Saccharomyces cerevisiae S288C: one gene and its partners. Changing the gene in region 1 together with any one later gene gives a genetic interaction. Each region holds a gene or a part of one and is shown in the gene's direction. Other genes may lie near its edges.

What was found.
Region 2: mutations in CQD1 (region 1) and ADP1 together harm fitness more than expected from each alone (negative genetic interaction), as found in Saccharomyces cerevisiae (2 studies listed by BioGRID).
Region 3: mutations in CQD1 (region 1) and CYB2 together harm fitness more than expected from each alone (negative genetic interaction), as found in Saccharomyces cerevisiae (2 studies listed by BioGRID).
Region 4: mutations in CQD1 (region 1) and YDR338C together harm fitness more than expected from each alone (negative genetic interaction), as found in Saccharomyces cerevisiae (2 studies listed by BioGRID).

What each region holds. Positions count from the first base shown.
Region 1 is NC_001148.4:344,742-349,313, reverse strand, and holds CQD1 (Cqd1p), read left to right. Parts: upstream 1-1,924; coding exon 1,925-3,717; intron 3,718-3,869; coding exon 3,870-4,050; downstream 4,051-4,572. Other genes in the region: DPC25 (Dpc25p), read right to left, coding at 1-195; YPL108W (uncharacterized protein), read right to left, coding at 362-868.
Region 2 is NC_001135.5:133,224-138,864, reverse strand, and holds ADP1 (putative ATP-dependent permease ADP1), read left to right. Parts: upstream 1-1,991; coding exon 1,992-5,141; downstream 5,142-5,641. Other genes in the region: PGK1 (phosphoglycerate kinase), read right to left, coding at 1-1,119.
Region 3 is NC_001145.3:165,033-169,283, reverse strand, and holds CYB2 (L-lactate dehydrogenase (cytochrome)), read left to right. Parts: upstream 1-1,975; coding exon 1,976-3,751; downstream 3,752-4,251. Other genes in the region: YML053C (uncharacterized protein), read left to right, coding at 1-168; YML054C-A (uncharacterized protein), read left to right, coding at 1,503-1,661; signal peptidase complex subunit SPC2, read right to left, coding at 3,958-4,251. UniProt on the Saccharomyces cerevisiae protein: Catalyzes the oxidation of (S)-lactate (L-lactate) to pyruvate with subsequent transfer of electrons to cytochrome c. Is involved in the utilization of (S)-lactate as a sole source of carbon for growth.
Region 4 is NC_001136.10:1,146,879-1,151,380, reverse strand, and holds YDR338C (uncharacterized protein), read left to right. Parts: upstream 1-1,914; coding exon 1,915-4,002; downstream 4,003-4,502. Other genes in the region: rRNA-processing protein FCF1, read left to right, coding at 861-1,430; mitochondrial 37S ribosomal protein uS15m MRPS28, read right to left, coding at 4,202-4,502.

The sequences.
Region 1 (4,572 bases):
GCTAAGCACTCTACTTGTGGATCTTGGTGGTTCACCCTTTAAGCGTCCTCCAAAAACAGTGGTCATTCTTTCTTCGACAGAAGTAGAGATATCTTGAGTGTTTCCTTCAAAAGTCATATCTACTCTGGAGTATCTTGTGAACCTCCGCACCGGATAAATTCTGTAAAGTAATGACCATCCCTGATTTCTTATCATTTTCTACTTTTGATCACGTCTCTATCTAATGACGGTTTCATGCACCCTCTGACTGTTGTAATTTACGTATTATTATTCTGTTTAATTTATGCTATTTATGTAAATGAGTTCGGCCATGTCGGAGGAGAAAGATATCTTTTTTCAAATTTGAGTATCTGATTCGGGCTTATAATACATGCCCACGACATCGCTCGATCATATATTCCAACTCTTCAAGCTCCCTCTTCATTTTATTCTTCACGTTGAACGGTTCAAAGAGCCCCAGAAAATAGGTGCTGAGATCCAGACACTCCTTGTACTTACATTGGTAAAATAAACGATGGCAGAAACCACTAAGCACCTGTCGCTGATGCTTATTGGAGATATCGTACTTGCCTTCCCGGATCTCAACCAAGGGATCTACCTCATCCATCCATCCTACCTTTGTCCGCACAGGGCCTTGTTCTACTTCGAAGTAGTGCTGCAATTGCTGTGTATACTCTTCTTCCGTTTGACCTTTACGTATTTTAGTTTTCCCGGTGGATTTTCTAACAATTACTTCACCTGTTCTACCATCTAACGAGATTGGCTTAGTCACTGATTGATCCTTCTCTCCGTGGGCTTTCCTAAAACCTGTACTATAGTTTTTTTCCACCATTTTTGGTGCTTCTTCTCTATCAGATGCTTCTTTCATAAAAATTATTATCTTTCTTAGCTGTTATTCATCTTACATTTTTTTTTCAATTACGGCGAGGCGATGACTTCAATCGTTGCTGTCAAGATTGAATTGACAATTACAGTCGATGTTGAATATTAACTTATATATGACAGATCATTACAGCTAGTCTAGTTCGACAAGATTAGTAAGATTAGGAGTTATTTTTAACTGCTTATTATGCAAGTTGTGTAGGCCACAGGCGCAACTGAAAAACATAATTTCAGATTAGGCAGTTACTGGAAAGATCGCGTTCTTGTATTGTCTAAATAGAAGCAGTTGTTTTAATAATGCTTACAATTGAACTATGAACCAAAGCAATAATTTATGAGAAACTAAAATGGGATGCATCAGATCTTTGCACTCAATTGAGTTTAAAACTGTACAGGTACTAATATTATATTAACGCTGCTTCTATAACACTTGTTTTGACATGACGATAAGTGTAGTGTATTCAAATGCCGTATGTCACTTGAACACACAGGGAACTGCACTCTGCACTTCGGAACAAGATTGAAAGTTACTGTGTTATTAACCTTTGCCAACAAGCGAAAACAACCAGGTGTTTCTGCGGTTTACAAAATCTTTAAGGGATTGAGGTTAGTTGGCTCAAAGAGAAGAAGTTCCCAGTCGATGTATCAAGCAGAGCTAAGAGAAAAAGTGCCGCGAAAGGGTTTGATTGGTCAAGTTGGCTTGTTCATCAGGAACTAAATTAATCAAGGTGTGATTCTATCTGTCAACCCCCCCCCTTGATACTTCCTGTACTTAGAATCAATTTATTAAATACAAATTTAGAATCTGTGATTCGTAAATCTTAAGTGTTTAAATACTAAGTGTGTATTAAAGGCTTTACTTCAAGCAACGAAAAATAAATAACCCCGAATATATGAGGGGCAATAATACCTTTTCACTCATTTGATGAAAAAGAAAAGATGTTTGATGTTATAGAAAATACCTTATACCATATCTTCTACCTACTCATCAATATCAAACCCTCACAGAATAGAGATAAAGAACATCAGAACCATCTGGGCAATGTCATTTTTAAAGTTCGCTTATAGAAACTCTTGGCGATACTATAGCAAGTCCACACGGCATTTTCATAAAATACCTATAAGACAGTTCATAATACCTACGTCAATTGCTTTTTATTTGACACAAAATTCGTTTCCAAAACAAAATTGTTTGATATACAATGATTCTCTAAAACCGGATCCCAAAGGTGATACTTTTGAAATGGGCCTCTACGTTTCCTCAGAAAACGAATTGCAGGAAAAGCTTAAATCTTTCAGGTCTGCTAAGATCACTGAATCACGAAATAAATTAATAAGATATCTAAGAATCTTTTGGTTCGGTTTTAATGATAATATTGTTGAGCCTGTATGCACGATTTTAAGGTTTTTAGAAATTTCAGCTATTTTTTTACCTCTTCTCCTATTATACCCCATATCATGGTTTGGTCATAAACTCAAAATTACGGACACCAATATAACTGAAACTCGAGGTTCATTGATTTGGTGTCAACTACTGCGTAAAGCATTGGAATTGGCTGGCCCGAGTTTCATTAAACTCGGACAATGGGCAGGATCGAGAACCGATATATTCTCTCACGCACTGTGTCATGAGTTGGGTAAATTGCATAGTAACGTTACAGCTCACTCTCTAAGCTTTACTCTGGAAAAACTTTCTCAAGCATTAAAGGTTGACAAGATCGAAGATGCTTTTGATGAATTTAATCGAACACCAATTGGAGTTGGGTCCATCGCACAAGTTTACGTGGGTGAACTATCCCAAAAGTACATCGATAAATATGACAATATACAAATTGGTAAGGATGGAAATCGTTGGTGTGCCATCAAGATCTTGCATCCAAATGTAAGATCTCAGATCCGGAGAGATTTGAAAATAATGAAATTCTGTGCTGACGCAATAAATTGGATTCCGACTATGGAATGGCTGTCTTTACCCAGCGAAGTCGATCAGTTTTCCATATTAATGAATATTCAGTTGGATCTAAGAATTGAGGCGTTAAACCTGGAAAGATTCAATGAGAACTTTAAAAATTCTATTCAGGTGAAATTTCCTAAACCATTTCTCCCCTTGTCAAATAGGGATGTTATGTTCGAAGAGCATGTATATGGTCTTTCCATGGAAAAGTTTTTATCTACGAAGAAGCAAATTAACGACGTTGAACTTTGTAAAAAAGTCAGTGATCCCTTCGTTGACGCGTTTCTACAAATGCTAATTCTTGATGATTTTGTTCATGCTGATTTGCATCCAGGCAATGTTATAATCAGATTTGTGAAGACGAACAAATACGGCACAAACATTATATCCTCCGAACTTGAATCGTACAGAATAACGCACGACCTGAGGAAGAAGATAGAGGAGGACCAAGATCAGGACTTTGTTGGAAAACTGAAGTCTGTATTAACTAATTACACTCCCCAAATTTGTTTTATCGATACAGGAATAATTACAGAATTGAATGAAAAAAACAGAATTAATTTCATAGCTCTATTCAACGCATTGGCCCGATTTGATGGTTATAGAGCTGGTGAGTTGATGATTGAGAGATCAAGAACTCCAGAAACAGCTATTGATAAGGAAGTATTTGCGTTTAAGGTAGAAAAGCTAGTGGATAAAGTTAAACAAAGAACATTTACATTGGGAACCGTCTCAATTGGCGATTTACTCGATCAAATGCTTAGTATGGTAAGGTCGCACCATGTTAGAATGGAGTCCGACTTTGTTTCCGTGGTGGTCGCTATTTTACTTCTAGAGGGTATTGGACGCCAGTTAGATCCAAACTTGGACTTATTTGAAAGGTTCGTATTTTACGCATGGATTAACGGTTTTAAAGAATAACATCAATTTTTTAAAACCCTTTTCTATTGCTTTTTTTTGCTTTTTATTGCTACTAAAGAAATTCTTTTACTAACAAAAATACCCACATCTTGTAACTTCTCTTCGTAAACAGTTCGCTGCCTATATTACGTGAATTCGGGTTTAAGCGGGAAGCCAAAAGTCTCTTGAAAGATGCAAGCACATTATCAATGCTCAAGATATGGGTTGGTTTAGAAGTGCGTCAATTAATGCATCTCTCGATGAAGCAAATATACGATCTTGTCAGGACTGATCAATTGTGTCCTAATTATTAATATTCTTTCTTTTTATGCATCTTTTATAATTGCGACTTCCACGTGTTCGCAGGTGGAGCAATGTTACACACGCTGTCCCAACATATTAGCTCTCCAAAAAAACGACCAAGTTTATTTAAGTGACAAATAATAATTTGCTGTTGCTCTAGCTGAAATTTAGACCAGTGCTGTCATTATCGACTCGTAGTGTTCTTTTAATAGTAAATTTCGTCAAAACGTTTCTAATTCACTTAATAGCGCCAACTGAATAAGAGAATTATTTTTAGAACGTGCACATTATATTAAAAAGAGAGCGTTGGCTGACAGAAGTAAAAAATAAATTATTGTCTTACAAAGTGAGACTATTAAAGAGTTTAAGTTTTGCAATTAGTGCTTCATTGAACAATAAGGCAACGGTAGCAAAAAATTTAAACCCAACTAAGAAGGGAACCCTCATCAAATTACACAAAAATAGCCACTATCTCCAACTAAGGTGACAAACTACTGAAACTGTAAGGTCTTTATATAATCAAACAATATAAT
Region 2 (5,641 bases), on another chromosome or scaffold:
GTCACCACCACCAATGATGACGGTGTTACCAGCAGCAGAGCTCTTGACAACTTCGTCTAACAAAGCCTTAGTACCAGCAGCGAACTTTTCGAATTCGAAAACACCTGGTGGACCGTTCCAGACAATGGTCTTAGCCTTTGCAACAGTAGCAGCAAACAACTTTCTAGATTCTGGACCATTGTCCAACCCTTGCCAGCCAGCTGGAATACCTTCCTTGTCAGTGACAGTCTTGGTGTTGGCATCAGCAGAGAAAGCATCAGCAATGATGAAGTCGACTGGCAAGACGACTTCGACACCCTTGGCCTTGGCCTTTTCCATCAACTTTGGAACGATTTCAGCACCAGCCTTGTCGAAGATGGAGTCACCGATTTCAGTGTTTTCCAAAACCTTCTTGAAGGTGAAAGCCATACCACCACCAATGATGATAGAGTCGACCTTGTCCAACAAGTTGTCAATCAATTGAATCTTGTCAGCAACCTTGGCACCACCTAAGATGGCCAAGAATGGTCTGGTTGGGTTCTCCAAAGCCTTACCGAAGTACTTCAATTCCTTTTCCAACAAGAAACCGGCAGCACGTTGTGGCAAGTCGAAACCGACCATAGAAGAGTGAGCTCTGTGAGCGGTACCGAAGGCATCGTTGATGTAAACATCAGCCAAAGAGCTCAATTCGTGTCTGAACTTTTGAACATCTTCCTTGGAAGCCTTGACCTTTTGACCATCGACCTTTCTGGAACCTTCTTCTTCGATGTGGTAACGCAAGTTTTCCAACAAAATAACGGAACCTGGGGCAGAAGCCTTGACAGCGGCTTCAACTTCTGGACCGACACAGTCGTTCAAGAAGGTGACATCCTTACCCAACAATGATTGCAATTCCTTAGCAACTGGAGCCAAAGAGTATTTTTCGTTTCTTTCACCGTTTGGTCTACCCAAGTGAGAAGCCAAGACAACGTATCTTGGGTGGTGTTCCAAAACGTACTTGATGGTTGGCAAAGCAGCAACAATTCTTTGGTTAGAAGTGATCTTCTTACCGTCCAATGGGACGTTGAAGTCAACTCTGATGAAGACACGCTTGTCCTTCAAGTCCAAATCTTGGACAGACAACTTTGAAGATAAAGACATTGTTTTATATTTGTTGTAAAAAGTAGATAATTACTTCCTTGATGATCTGTAAAAAAGAGAAAAAGAAAGCATCTAAGAACTTGAAAAACTACGAATTAGAAAAGACCAAATATGTATTTCTTGCATTGACCAATTTATGCAAGTTTATATATATGTAAATGTAAGTTTCACGAGGTTCTACTAAACTAAACCACCCCCTTGGTTAGAAGAAAAGAGTGTGTGAGAACAGGCTGTTGTTGTCACACGATTCGGACAATTCTGTTTGAAAGAGAGAGAGTAACAGTACGATCGAACGAACTTTGCTCTGGAGATCACAGTGGGCATCATAGCATGTGGTACTAAACCCTTTCCCGCCATTCCAGAACCTTCGATTGCTTGTTACAAAACCTGTGAGCCGTCGCTAGGACCTTGTTGTGTGACGAAATTGGAAGCTGCAATCAATAGGAAGACAGGAAGTCGAGCGTGTCTGGGTTTTTTCAGTTTTGTTCTTTTTGCAAACAAATCACGAGCGACGGTAATTTCTTTCTCGATAAGAGGCCACGTGCTTTATGAGGGTAACATCAATTCAAGAAGGAGGGAAACACTTCCTTTTTCTGGCCCTGATAATAGTATGAGGGTGAAGCCAAAATAAAGGATTCGCGCCCAAATCGGCATCTTTAAATGCAGGTATGCGATAGTTCCTCACTCTTTCCTTACTCACGAGTAATTCTTGCAAATGCCTATTATGCAGATGTTATAATATCTGTGCGTCTTGAGTTGAAGTCAGGAATCTAAAATAAAAATTAAGGTTAATAAAAAGAGGAAAGAAAAAAAAATTAATCGATTTACAGAAACTTGCACACTAAAAATACACAACTAAAAGCAATTACAGTATGGGAAGTCATCGACGTTATCTCTACTATAGTATATTATCATTTCTATTATTATCCTGCTCAGTGGTACTTGCAAAACAAGATAAGACCCCATTCTTTGAAGGTACTTCTTCGAAAAATTCGCGTCTAACTGCACAAGATAAGGGCAATGATACATGCCCGCCATGTTTTAATTGTATGCTACCTATTTTTGAATGCAAACAGTTTTCTGAATGCAATTCGTACACTGGTAGATGTGAGTGTATAGAAGGGTTTGCAGGTGATGATTGCTCTCTGCCCCTCTGTGGCGGTCTATCACCGGATGAAAGCGGTAATAAGGATCGTCCCATAAGAGCACAAAATGACACCTGTCATTGTGATAACGGATGGGGAGGGATCAATTGTGACGTTTGTCAAGAAGATTTTGTCTGTGATGCGTTCATGCCTGATCCTAGTATTAAGGGGACATGTTATAAGAATGGTATGATTGTAGATAAAGTATTTTCAGGTTGTAATGTGACCAATGAGAAAATTCTACAGATTTTGAACGGCAAAATACCACAAATTACATTTGCCTGTGATAAACCTAATCAAGAATGTAATTTTCAGTTTTGGATAGATCAGTTAGAAAGCTTCTATTGTGGCTTAAGTGATTGTGCCTTTGAATACGACTTGGAACAGAATACCTCCCATTATAAGTGTAATGACGTTCAATGCAAATGCGTTCCCGACACTGTGTTGTGTGGTGCTAAGGGGTCTATAGATATCTCGGATTTCCTGACAGAGACAATAAAAGGGCCAGGAGATTTCAGCTGTGATTTAGAAACAAGGCAATGTAAATTCAGTGAGCCTTCTATGAATGATTTGATATTGACCGTGTTTGGTGACCCTTATATTACTTTGAAGTGTGAATCCGGTGAATGTGTTCATTATAGTGAGATTCCAGGTTACAAATCTCCTTCAAAAGATCCAACAGTGTCATGGCAAGGGAAATTGGTGTTGGCATTGACTGCTGTGATGGTCCTGGCACTTTTTACATTTGCTACCTTTTACATTTCTAAATCTCCGTTATTCAGAAATGGATTGGGTTCCTCAAAGTCTCCCATTCGTTTGCCAGATGAAGATGCGGTGAATAATTTCTTACAAAATGAAGATGACACACTGGCGACATTAAGTTTTGAAAATATCACTTATAGTGTCCCCTCGATAAATTCAGATGGTGTTGAAGAAACTGTGCTGAATGAAATAAGTGGTATCGTGAAGCCCGGCCAAATATTAGCTATCATGGGTGGATCTGGTGCGGGTAAAACTACTTTATTAGATATCCTAGCAATGAAACGGAAAACAGGTCACGTTTCGGGTTCCATAAAAGTTAACGGTATTAGTATGGACCGTAAATCTTTCTCGAAAATAATCGGGTTCGTCGATCAAGATGACTTTTTGCTGCCCACTTTGACTGTTTTTGAAACCGTATTAAATAGTGCGCTGTTAAGATTGCCAAAAGCATTGTCATTCGAGGCCAAGAAGGCAAGAGTTTATAAGGTGTTGGAAGAACTAAGAATTATTGATATCAAAGATCGTATTATTGGTAATGAATTTGATCGTGGTATTAGTGGAGGTGAAAAACGCCGAGTTTCCATTGCATGTGAATTAGTGACATCTCCATTGGTTTTATTTTTGGATGAACCTACATCTGGTTTAGATGCTAGTAATGCCAATAATGTTATTGAATGTTTGGTAAGGTTATCCAGCGACTATAACAGGACATTGGTGCTATCTATTCATCAGCCAAGATCAAATATATTTTATTTATTCGATAAATTGGTCCTGTTAAGTAAAGGTGAGATGGTCTATTCCGGAAATGCCAAAAAAGTGTCAGAATTTTTGAGAAATGAGGGATATATCTGTCCGGACAACTATAATATTGCTGATTATTTGATTGATATTACTTTTGAAGCCGGTCCTCAGGGGAAAAGGAGAAGAATCAGAAACATTTCCGATTTAGAAGCTGGTACGGATACTAACGATATTGATAATACGATACACCAAACAACATTTACTAGCAGTGATGGTACAACACAGAGAGAGTGGGCTCATCTTGCAGCTCATAGAGATGAGATCAGATCTTTACTCAGAGATGAAGAAGATGTAGAGGGAACAGATGGAAGGCGAGGTGCTACTGAGATTGACTTAAATACCAAACTACTACACGATAAATATAAAGATAGCGTCTATTATGCAGAGCTTTCACAGGAGATCGAGGAAGTTTTAAGCGAAGGTGATGAGGAAAGTAACGTTTTGAATGGAGATTTACCCACAGGTCAACAATCTGCTGGTTTTCTGCAACAGTTATCGATATTGAATTCAAGAAGTTTTAAAAACATGTACAGAAACCCTAAACTATTATTGGGTAATTATTTACTGACGATCCTATTGAGTTTATTCTTGGGAACACTATATTACAACGTCTCCAATGATATCAGCGGTTTTCAGAACAGAATGGGGCTGTTCTTCTTTATACTAACGTACTTCGGTTTTGTTACATTCACAGGTCTCAGCTCGTTCGCTCTGGAAAGGATCATTTTCATAAAAGAAAGATCCAATAACTATTACTCGCCACTTGCATACTACATTAGTAAGATAATGAGCGAAGTGGTCCCGCTACGTGTTGTACCACCTATACTCTTGTCATTGATTGTTTACCCAATGACTGGTTTAAACATGAAAGACAATGCTTTTTTTAAATGTATTGGAATCCTTATACTGTTTAACCTTGGGATATCGTTGGAAATCCTAACCATCGGCATAATTTTTGAAGACTTGAATAACTCCATAATATTAAGCGTGCTGGTGCTTTTGGGCTCACTACTGTTTAGCGGACTATTTATCAATACTAAGAATATTACAAACGTGGCCTTCAAGTACCTGAAAAACTTCTCTGTGTTTTACTACGCCTACGAATCTTTATTGATCAATGAGGTCAAAACATTGATGCTGAAAGAGAGAAAGTACGGCTTAAATATTGAAGTTCCAGGCGCTACTATCTTGAGCACATTTGGATTTGTTGTCCAAAACCTTGTATTTGACATCAAGATCCTGGCTCTGTTTAATGTGGTGTTTTTAATAATGGGGTATCTAGCCCTTAAGTGGATAGTTGTGGAACAAAAGTAGATAGGCGTCGTATATAGTCTCTTCTTTTACATAAGAAATAATAATTTTTGGCCCCGCAACTTTCCTTATTTTCGAGAGGGTCCACTGCCCGTTGATCCGGAGCTCCGTGGAATAGGCGAGCGGCTGAGTGGTTCTCCAAGCTACGGTTTTTACGTGTAGCCCCATGTGAGCAAGCCAAACAAGGGCCCTTAAAGGCGTGACTACAAAAAGGGGCGGGTTGGAAGGTCATCTGCAGCGAGATACGAAAAGATTTTTTGCCAGATTTGCGGTTGGGCGGCTATTTCGGTATTGTTGGGGTAACAAACGTTGGGGAAGACTGCATTTTCTTACAGCTTTTTTTCGTTATCGCGGGTTGGGCGGCTATGGCGCCTTCTCCTCTGTACTCCAACCTGTCAGAGACACCAAGCTGTATATAAAGCACCTTGGTTGGATCGTATTTCCCTGAGATCTTGCTATAGGTTCATTTTATATATCGTCCAATAGCAATAACAATACAACAG
Region 3 (4,251 bases), on another chromosome or scaffold:
ACTAATCGCGACATAACAGGCACGAGTCCTACTGGAAGTGCTAGTATTATACAACACCAGTATCATCTTCTACCATCCCAAAGTATAATTGCATCACAAGCACCCGGTACTGCCATGGCCGCGTTGACTAACAACAATATCGCTAACGATTACATGGATATAGATTAATAAGAAAAAAAATAACTGCAGGAAATGAAAATGAAAATGAAATGGAAAAAAAAAAAAGAAAATTTAACCTATTTAAAATAATACAATGTATTACATATTTATCACGACTGTTTACGTATCTCTACTCAATTTACTTTAAAGGCTAAGTGCTCATTCTGGCTACCTTACATCTATCTATAAAACGTTCAAAACTCAAACCTCACTAGGCCTGGAGAAAAAGGGAAAAAAAATATCTCCCGGGGGCGAGTCGAACGCCCGATCTCAAGATTTCGTAGTGGTAAATTACAGTCTTGCGCCTTAAACCAACTTGGCTACCGAGAGTGACTATTTTGATTTACTTCAAAATAAAGTGTCAGTACTACCCTTATTATATGAATGTTGTCGTAACCTCTCGGATTATATGTAGACAATGTTATGGATATATAGAATATAAGTGTTGGAATAAAAATCAACTATCATCTACTAACTAGTATTTACGTTACTAGTATATTATCATATACGGTGTTAGAAGATGACGCAAATGATGAGAAATAGTCATCTAAATTAGTGGAAGCTGAAACGCAAGGATTGATAATGTAATAGGATCAATGAATATTAACATATAAAATGATGATAATAATATTTATAGAATTGTGTAGAATTGCAGATTCCCTTTTATGGATTCCTAAATCCTCGAGGAGAACTTCTAGTACATTCTACATACCTAATATTATTGCCTTATTAAAAATGGAATCCCAACGATTATCTCAAAATTCACCCATTCTTCAATAAGAATTTACGAAATAAATCCGGTAACCATAAATCCACAGAGCCTCTTATATTCACTCTGTTCCTCCATCGCCTATTGAGAAACGTTGGAATAAAACTCTAAAAATATCATCTAGTTAGTTAGTTTTTATTTTACCAGTACATTGTCACTTGCGGAGGGAGGATGACATAAAGATTGAGACGCAGTCATTTAATGAAGTTTAAACGCGGGTACTTGATAAAGTAATACGATATTGAATCATGACGTATAAAGTGAAATGAACGAATGATTACGTAAAAATGTCGATTTTCTCTTGAGAGACTCCCATAGCCTCTAAGAGGCCTTCTACTACGTTCCATATATCTAAGAATGGGGCCATATCCAGTGGAATCCCAGCAATTATTTGAGAATCACCATTTCTCAGCCGATATTTTAGCAGAATTACTACCAATATCAGGGGGCAATAGTTGATCGCCTACTTTAACAAAAAATGTTGCTCACGTATTAACACAGGCAACAAAAAGGATATTACGCAAGAACGTAGTATCCACATGCCATCCTCCTTGTTGCATCTTTTTTTTCCGAAATGATTCCCTTTCCTGCACAACACGAGATCTTTCACGCATACATCGGAAGGATCACCCCCCACTCAAGTCGTTGCATTGCTAACATGTGGCATTCTGCCCATTTTTTTCACGAAAATTCTCTCTCTATAATGAAGACCCTTGTGCCCTGGACTCTGTAATACTTGAAACTACTTCCTCAATAATCGCTTGGAGACCTACCCCCACGCTTTTCAAACAAGGCGCTAGCAAAAAGCCTGCCGATATCTCCTTGCCCCCTCCTCCTGTTCGAGAGAACTACGACCCGACCAATAATAATGTCATACAAGAACCGCCAAGAACCAACTGCTGAACCTTAGATCTCCAATACTTTCAGTTGGAGTATGTGAATATATAAGTACCTGGTCGACTAATCTTCTTGCATCTTTTCGTATTCTTACATCCTATGTCGCTAATACAGTTCCCGCATAGAGAAGAAAGCAAACAAAAGTAGTCAATGCTAAAATACAAACCTTTACTAAAAATCTCGAAGAACTGTGAGGCTGCTATCCTCAGAGCGTCTAAGACTAGATTGAACACAATCCGCGCGTACGGTTCTACCGTTCCAAAATCCAAGTCGTTCGAACAAGACTCAAGAAAACGCACACAGTCATGGACTGCCTTGAGAGTCGGTGCAATTCTAGCCGCTACTAGTTCCGTGGCGTATCTAAACTGGCATAATGGCCAAATAGACAACGAGCCGAAACTGGATATGAATAAACAAAAGATTTCGCCCGCTGAAGTTGCCAAGCATAACAAGCCCGATGATTGTTGGGTTGTGATCAATGGTTACGTATACGACTTAACGCGATTCCTACCAAATCATCCAGGTGGGCAGGATGTTATCAAGTTTAACGCCGGGAAAGATGTCACTGCTATTTTTGAACCACTACATGCTCCTAATGTCATCGATAAGTATATAGCTCCCGAGAAAAAATTGGGTCCCCTTCAAGGATCCATGCCTCCTGAACTTGTCTGTCCTCCTTATGCTCCTGGTGAAACTAAGGAAGATATCGCTAGAAAAGAACAACTAAAATCGCTGCTACCTCCTCTAGATAATATTATTAACCTTTACGACTTTGAATACTTGGCCTCTCAAACTTTGACTAAACAAGCGTGGGCCTACTATTCCTCCGGTGCTAACGACGAAGTTACTCACAGAGAAAACCATAATGCTTATCATAGGATTTTTTTCAAACCAAAGATCCTTGTAGATGTACGCAAAGTAGACATTTCAACTGACATGTTGGGTTCTCATGTGGATGTTCCCTTCTACGTGTCTGCTACAGCTTTGTGTAAACTGGGAAACCCCTTAGAAGGTGAAAAAGATGTCGCCAGAGGTTGTGGCCAAGGTGTGACAAAAGTCCCACAAATGATATCTACTTTGGCTTCATGTTCCCCTGAGGAAATTATTGAAGCAGCACCCTCTGATAAACAAATTCAATGGTACCAACTATATGTTAACTCTGATAGAAAGATCACTGATGATTTGGTTAAAAATGTAGAAAAGCTGGGTGTAAAGGCATTATTTGTCACTGTGGATGCTCCAAGTTTAGGTCAAAGAGAAAAAGATATGAAGCTGAAATTTTCCAATACAAAGGCTGGTCCAAAAGCGATGAAGAAAACTAATGTAGAAGAATCTCAAGGTGCTTCGAGAGCGTTATCAAAGTTTATTGACCCCTCTTTGACTTGGAAAGATATAGAAGAGTTGAAGAAAAAGACAAAACTACCTATTGTTATCAAAGGTGTTCAACGTACCGAAGATGTTATCAAAGCAGCAGAAATCGGTGTAAGTGGGGTGGTTCTATCCAATCATGGTGGTAGACAATTAGATTTTTCAAGGGCTCCCATTGAAGTCCTGGCTGAAACCATGCCAATCCTGGAACAACGTAACTTGAAGGATAAGTTGGAAGTTTTCGTGGACGGTGGTGTTCGTCGTGGTACAGATGTCTTGAAAGCGTTATGTCTAGGTGCTAAAGGTGTTGGTTTGGGTAGACCATTCTTGTATGCGAACTCATGCTATGGTCGTAATGGTGTTGAAAAAGCCATTGAAATTTTAAGAGATGAAATTGAAATGTCTATGAGACTATTAGGTGTTACTAGCATTGCGGAATTGAAGCCTGATCTTTTAGATCTATCAACACTAAAGGCAAGAACAGTTGGAGTACCAAACGACGTGCTGTATAATGAAGTTTATGAGGGACCTACTTTAACAGAATTTGAGGATGCATGATTATAGCCTAGCTTTAAGGCTACTTTAAAAACTTTTTATTTATTCATACATATATATTATCGAACATTCGTATAACTTAATATCATTCAAAAAAAAAAAAAAAAAAAAAAGAAAACATATACACATATATATTTATGTTTATAGAGAGAGAGAGAGAAAATTTGAATTTTTGAATCATTTGCAAAGTTATATGTTTTATACATTATTTATTCATTTTTTTTGGTGTCGAGGACATTGTGCTGTTCAGAGAACCACTTAAAATACGCATCGTTCTGTAAATATCCACTTTCATTAAAAACCTTATTCACTTCTAATTTTGCCTTCAACTCCTTCTTGGAGTTTTCTCCCTTTTTTTTCTGAACAAGCTCAACCAGATATAATGGTTCGTTCTTTTCGAACTTTGTCTTTACATATATTTCCTCCTTTGTACCTCTTCTCTTTCCCACATAAACAGTCCCCTTTTCAATAAAACGAGAGAAATACCAGAAAAGTAGCGAGAG
Region 4 (4,502 bases), on another chromosome or scaffold:
CAATTATCAAATTGAGAATTGGGTGAATTTTGAGATAATTGTTGGGATTCCATTGTCGATAAAGGCTATAATATTAGGTATACAGAATATACTAGAAATTCTCCTCGAGGATATAGGAATCCCAAAATGGAATCTATATTTCTATACACTAATATTACGATTATTCCTCATTCCGTTTTATATGTTTCATTATCCTATTACATTATCAATCCTTGCACTTCAGCTTCCCCTAACTTCGATGACAGCTTCTCATAACTTATGTCATAATCTAACACCGTATATGATAGTATATTGATACTATAACTATTAGTTGACAGACGATAGTGAATTTTTATTCCAACACTTCTTTCCATGATTTTATTCCTAATCAAGAAAATATAGATTTTCACCATAGTAATGATATAGAAAACTAGAAACACTTTCACTTCAAAGTGTTTCAGTCCCAGTGGCCGAGTGGTTAAGGCGATGCCTGCTATTTCCTCAGAAAAGCAATTAGGCATTGGGTTTTACCTGCGCAGGTTCGAATCCTGTCTGTGACGCACTTTATTTTTTCTACATCCACTATTTTAAAGCTTGATTTTTTTGATTGTGAGCCACCTTCATGTACCTATCGTTTGTGGACTATTGCCATTAATTGCTTATTCACTTGCAATGATTTTATAAACATTACTCAAACTATCGGTTCCTACTGGAAGATATAACAAAAAAATTTGGCATATTTCTAAAGGTATCATTATGAACGGCTAAAATTTTTCAGCTTGCTACTATTCTTGAATGATGCCTCTTTAAACATTACTGTGCATTAACACACAATAACAGTGACTTGTAACGGAAATATCGATATACTACAACAGTTAATTATGGGTAAAGCTAAGAAAACAAGAAAGTTTGGCCTCGTAAAAAGAACTTTGAACACCAAGAAAGACCAAAGATTGAAGAAAAACCAGGAAAATATCAAAACTAAAGAAGACCCTGAGCTAACCAGGAATATACCACAAGTATCAAGTGCACTTTTCTTTCAATACAATCAAGCTATAAAGCCACCTTATCAAGTACTGATAGATACCAATTTTATAAATTTTTCTATCCAGAAAAAAGTCGATATTGTTAGAGGAATGATGGACTGTCTACTCGCAAAATGTAACCCGTTAATCACAGATTGTGTGATGGCAGAGTTAGAAAAATTGGGCCCCAAGTACCGTATCGCCTTGAAACTGGCTCGAGATCCTAGAATAAAGAGACTAAGCTGTTCGCACAAGGGTACGTACGCGGATGACTGTTTAGTGCATCGAGTCTTACAACATAAGTGTTACATCGTAGCTACAAACGATGCCGGCCTGAAACAAAGAATTAGAAAAATCCCTGGAATTCCTTTGATGAGCGTAGGCGGTCACGCATACGTCATTGAAAAATTGCCAGATGTCTTTTAAACTACTGTGTATTCACTCTTTAAGTATGTAGTGCAATGTTTTTGGTTTATATGTATATTAATTTCATAACAACAAGTTCATGGTTTGCCCGTATTGGAGCATGTTTTCAGATGAACTGAAATGCCTAAGGATATTTCTATTTCTTTTCAAGACCATTTACTCAATAATTGCTCTAAAGAAACGCAAATGCAAGGAGAAAAAAGAGGGCGTTTGAGACGCGACCAGTAACAGTTATAAACGGTAACCATTTGGCATCTTTTCATAATATCACTGTCAGCTATTATCCTCTTCCATGGGTTCCACGCGATGCAGAATATTTCTTAAGGAAGTTTTCATCTTCGCGCAAGCAAGGGACAAAACTTGATTGTATTTTTACATAAGCAAGCATATTTGATGCTGAAGAAGTATTATTATAAAAACTAAACATTGGAAAATACACATATAGCATACCTTAATATATACGGATAAAAAAAAGGTTGAAAAAATGGCTGGAATTTTGTCAAAGACTCTTTCAGAAGTGCATCCTTCCCTCCGAACAAATGGTATGGGTATCGGTAACACTCACAGGAGGATATCGCTAGGCTTCCTACCTCCCAACAAGAAGAATCCTCTGGTACGAAAATTTCGTGCAAGAACGAGAAATATTGATCAGAGGAGTTTCAGATCTTTAACAGATGATTTTGGAAGTAACGTCCATGAACCAAATCCGTACTTAGGTAATATTGATGAGGAACCTGACCTTTACTATCATGATGAAGAAGATGGCGAACTGAGCAGAACGATTTCTCTACCATCAAGGGTATCAGAAACTCCTGAGCTTTCGCCACAAGATGTTGATTGGATTCTACATGAACATGAACGACGATACTCATCGGTATGCAACTCTGATAATGAGGAAGCAAGTCAAAGCAACACACCAGATAGAATACAAGAATATTCTGGAAGAGAACTAGAATATGACGAATTTATGAATAGACTCCAAGCTCAGAAACAGAAATTAACTCGAAGTGCGGTAACAGACGCTAAAGGCACCTCACATCACAGAAGACCATCATTCGTATCTGTGACTAGCCGAGGCTCAGTTCCCACAATTTACCAAGAGATCGACGAGAACGATTCTGAGGCACTAGCAGAATTGGCTCACAGCCACGTCACCTTCAAATCAGAAGCAAGAGTTTTGGCATCTTATTCCTTCCCTCTAATTTTCACATTCTTATTGGAACAGATTTTCCCTATGGTATGTTCATTAACTGTGGGCCACTTAGGCAAAAATGAACTAGCAGCTGTGTCCTTAGCATCCATGACTTCTAATATAACACTAGCGATATTCGAGGGTATTGCCACTAGTCTAGATACTCTATGCCCTCAAGCGTATGGCTCTGGGAGATTCTACAGTGTAGGAGTTCACCTTCAACGTTGCATTGCTTTTTCATTGGTCATATATATACCTTTTGCTGTCATGTGGTGGTATTCTGAACCTCTTCTTTCTTATATCATCCCTGAGAAAGAATTAATCAACCTAACGTCACGATTTTTAAGAGTACTAATATTGGGAGCGCCAGCGTATATTTTTTTTGAAAATTTAAAACGATTTTTACAAGCCCAAGGTATTTTCGATGCAGGCATCTACGTTTTGACAATATGTGCTCCCTTAAACGTATTAGTCAGTTACACTCTCGTTTGGAACAAGTACATTGGTGTTGGATTTATTGGGGCTGCAATTGCCGTTGTGCTTAACTTCTGGCTAATGTTTTTCTTACTATTGTTTTATGCATTGTATATTGATGGAAGAAAATGCTGGGGTGGATTCTCAAGGAAGGCTTTCACCCATTGGAATGATTTAGGGCATTTAGCCTTCTCAGGTATTATTATGTTGGAGGCGGAAGAGCTGTCATATGAACTATTGACGTTATTTAGTGCATATTACGGTGTCAGTTATCTAGCAGCTCAGTCGGCAGTATCTACTATGGCTGCATTGCTCTATATGATCCCATTTGCAATAGGTATATCTACCTCTACGAGAATTGCGAACTTCATTGGTGCAAAAAGAACCGATTTCGCGCACATCTCTTCTCAAGTTGGGTTGTCATTTTCGTTTATTGCGGGGTTCATCAATTGCTGCATACTAGTATTTGGACGTAATCTAATCGCCAACATTTACTCAAAAGATCCCGAAGTCATCAAATTAATTGCGCAAGTATTGCCCTTGGTGGGTATTGTGCAAAATTTCGACTCGCTTAATGCCGTTGCTGGGTCTTGCCTCAGGGGTCAAGGCATGCAATCTCTAGGAAGTATAGTAAATTTAATGGCTTACTATCTATTTGGAATTCCCCTGGCTCTCATCCTAAGTTGGTTCTTTGACATGAAATTGTATGGTCTTTGGATTGGTATTGGAAGTGCCATGCTTTTAATTGGGCTAGTTGAGGCTTATTACGTATTATTTCCCGATTGGGACAAAATTATGACCTATGCTGAGATTTTGAAAGAAACCGAAGATGATGAAGTAGATAGCGATGAGTATTTAACAGACTCAGACGATCCTGATGAAAACACAGCCCTCTTAGGGGCTTAATTACAGAGGTATATCCGTATTTTCATTTCTTTATTTGATAGTACACGTGATTGTATACCCAATGCATATATTACTAAGAACTTTTTATAATGATGTAATTCAAAATGAAATAAATTACTGATTCATACGCGGTCAAAAAAAAAAAAAGAATATGACGGTTTCTTATTTACAAGCTTTTCTACATATGATTCAAATTATTCTAAAATGTAGCCCTTTTTTGTTTTCTTATCTCCTTACGCTTTTGATTTGCCACTTTCTTAGAATCTCTTATCAATATTTTATCACCAAAAAATTCATAATCTTGCATGTAACGCCTGTCCATATTGAATTCATCCGTTATGGCCGCATCATTCAATCCTAGTTTTTGAATAGTCCAGTAGTATTTTTCAGGATTATCTCTTTTCAAATATCTTAATATTGCCTGCCTTTGCTGGACTAATATCCTCAAATTTCTGGTGTTAGCAAAATCCTTACGATGCTCTTTAATATGGTTTGCCATA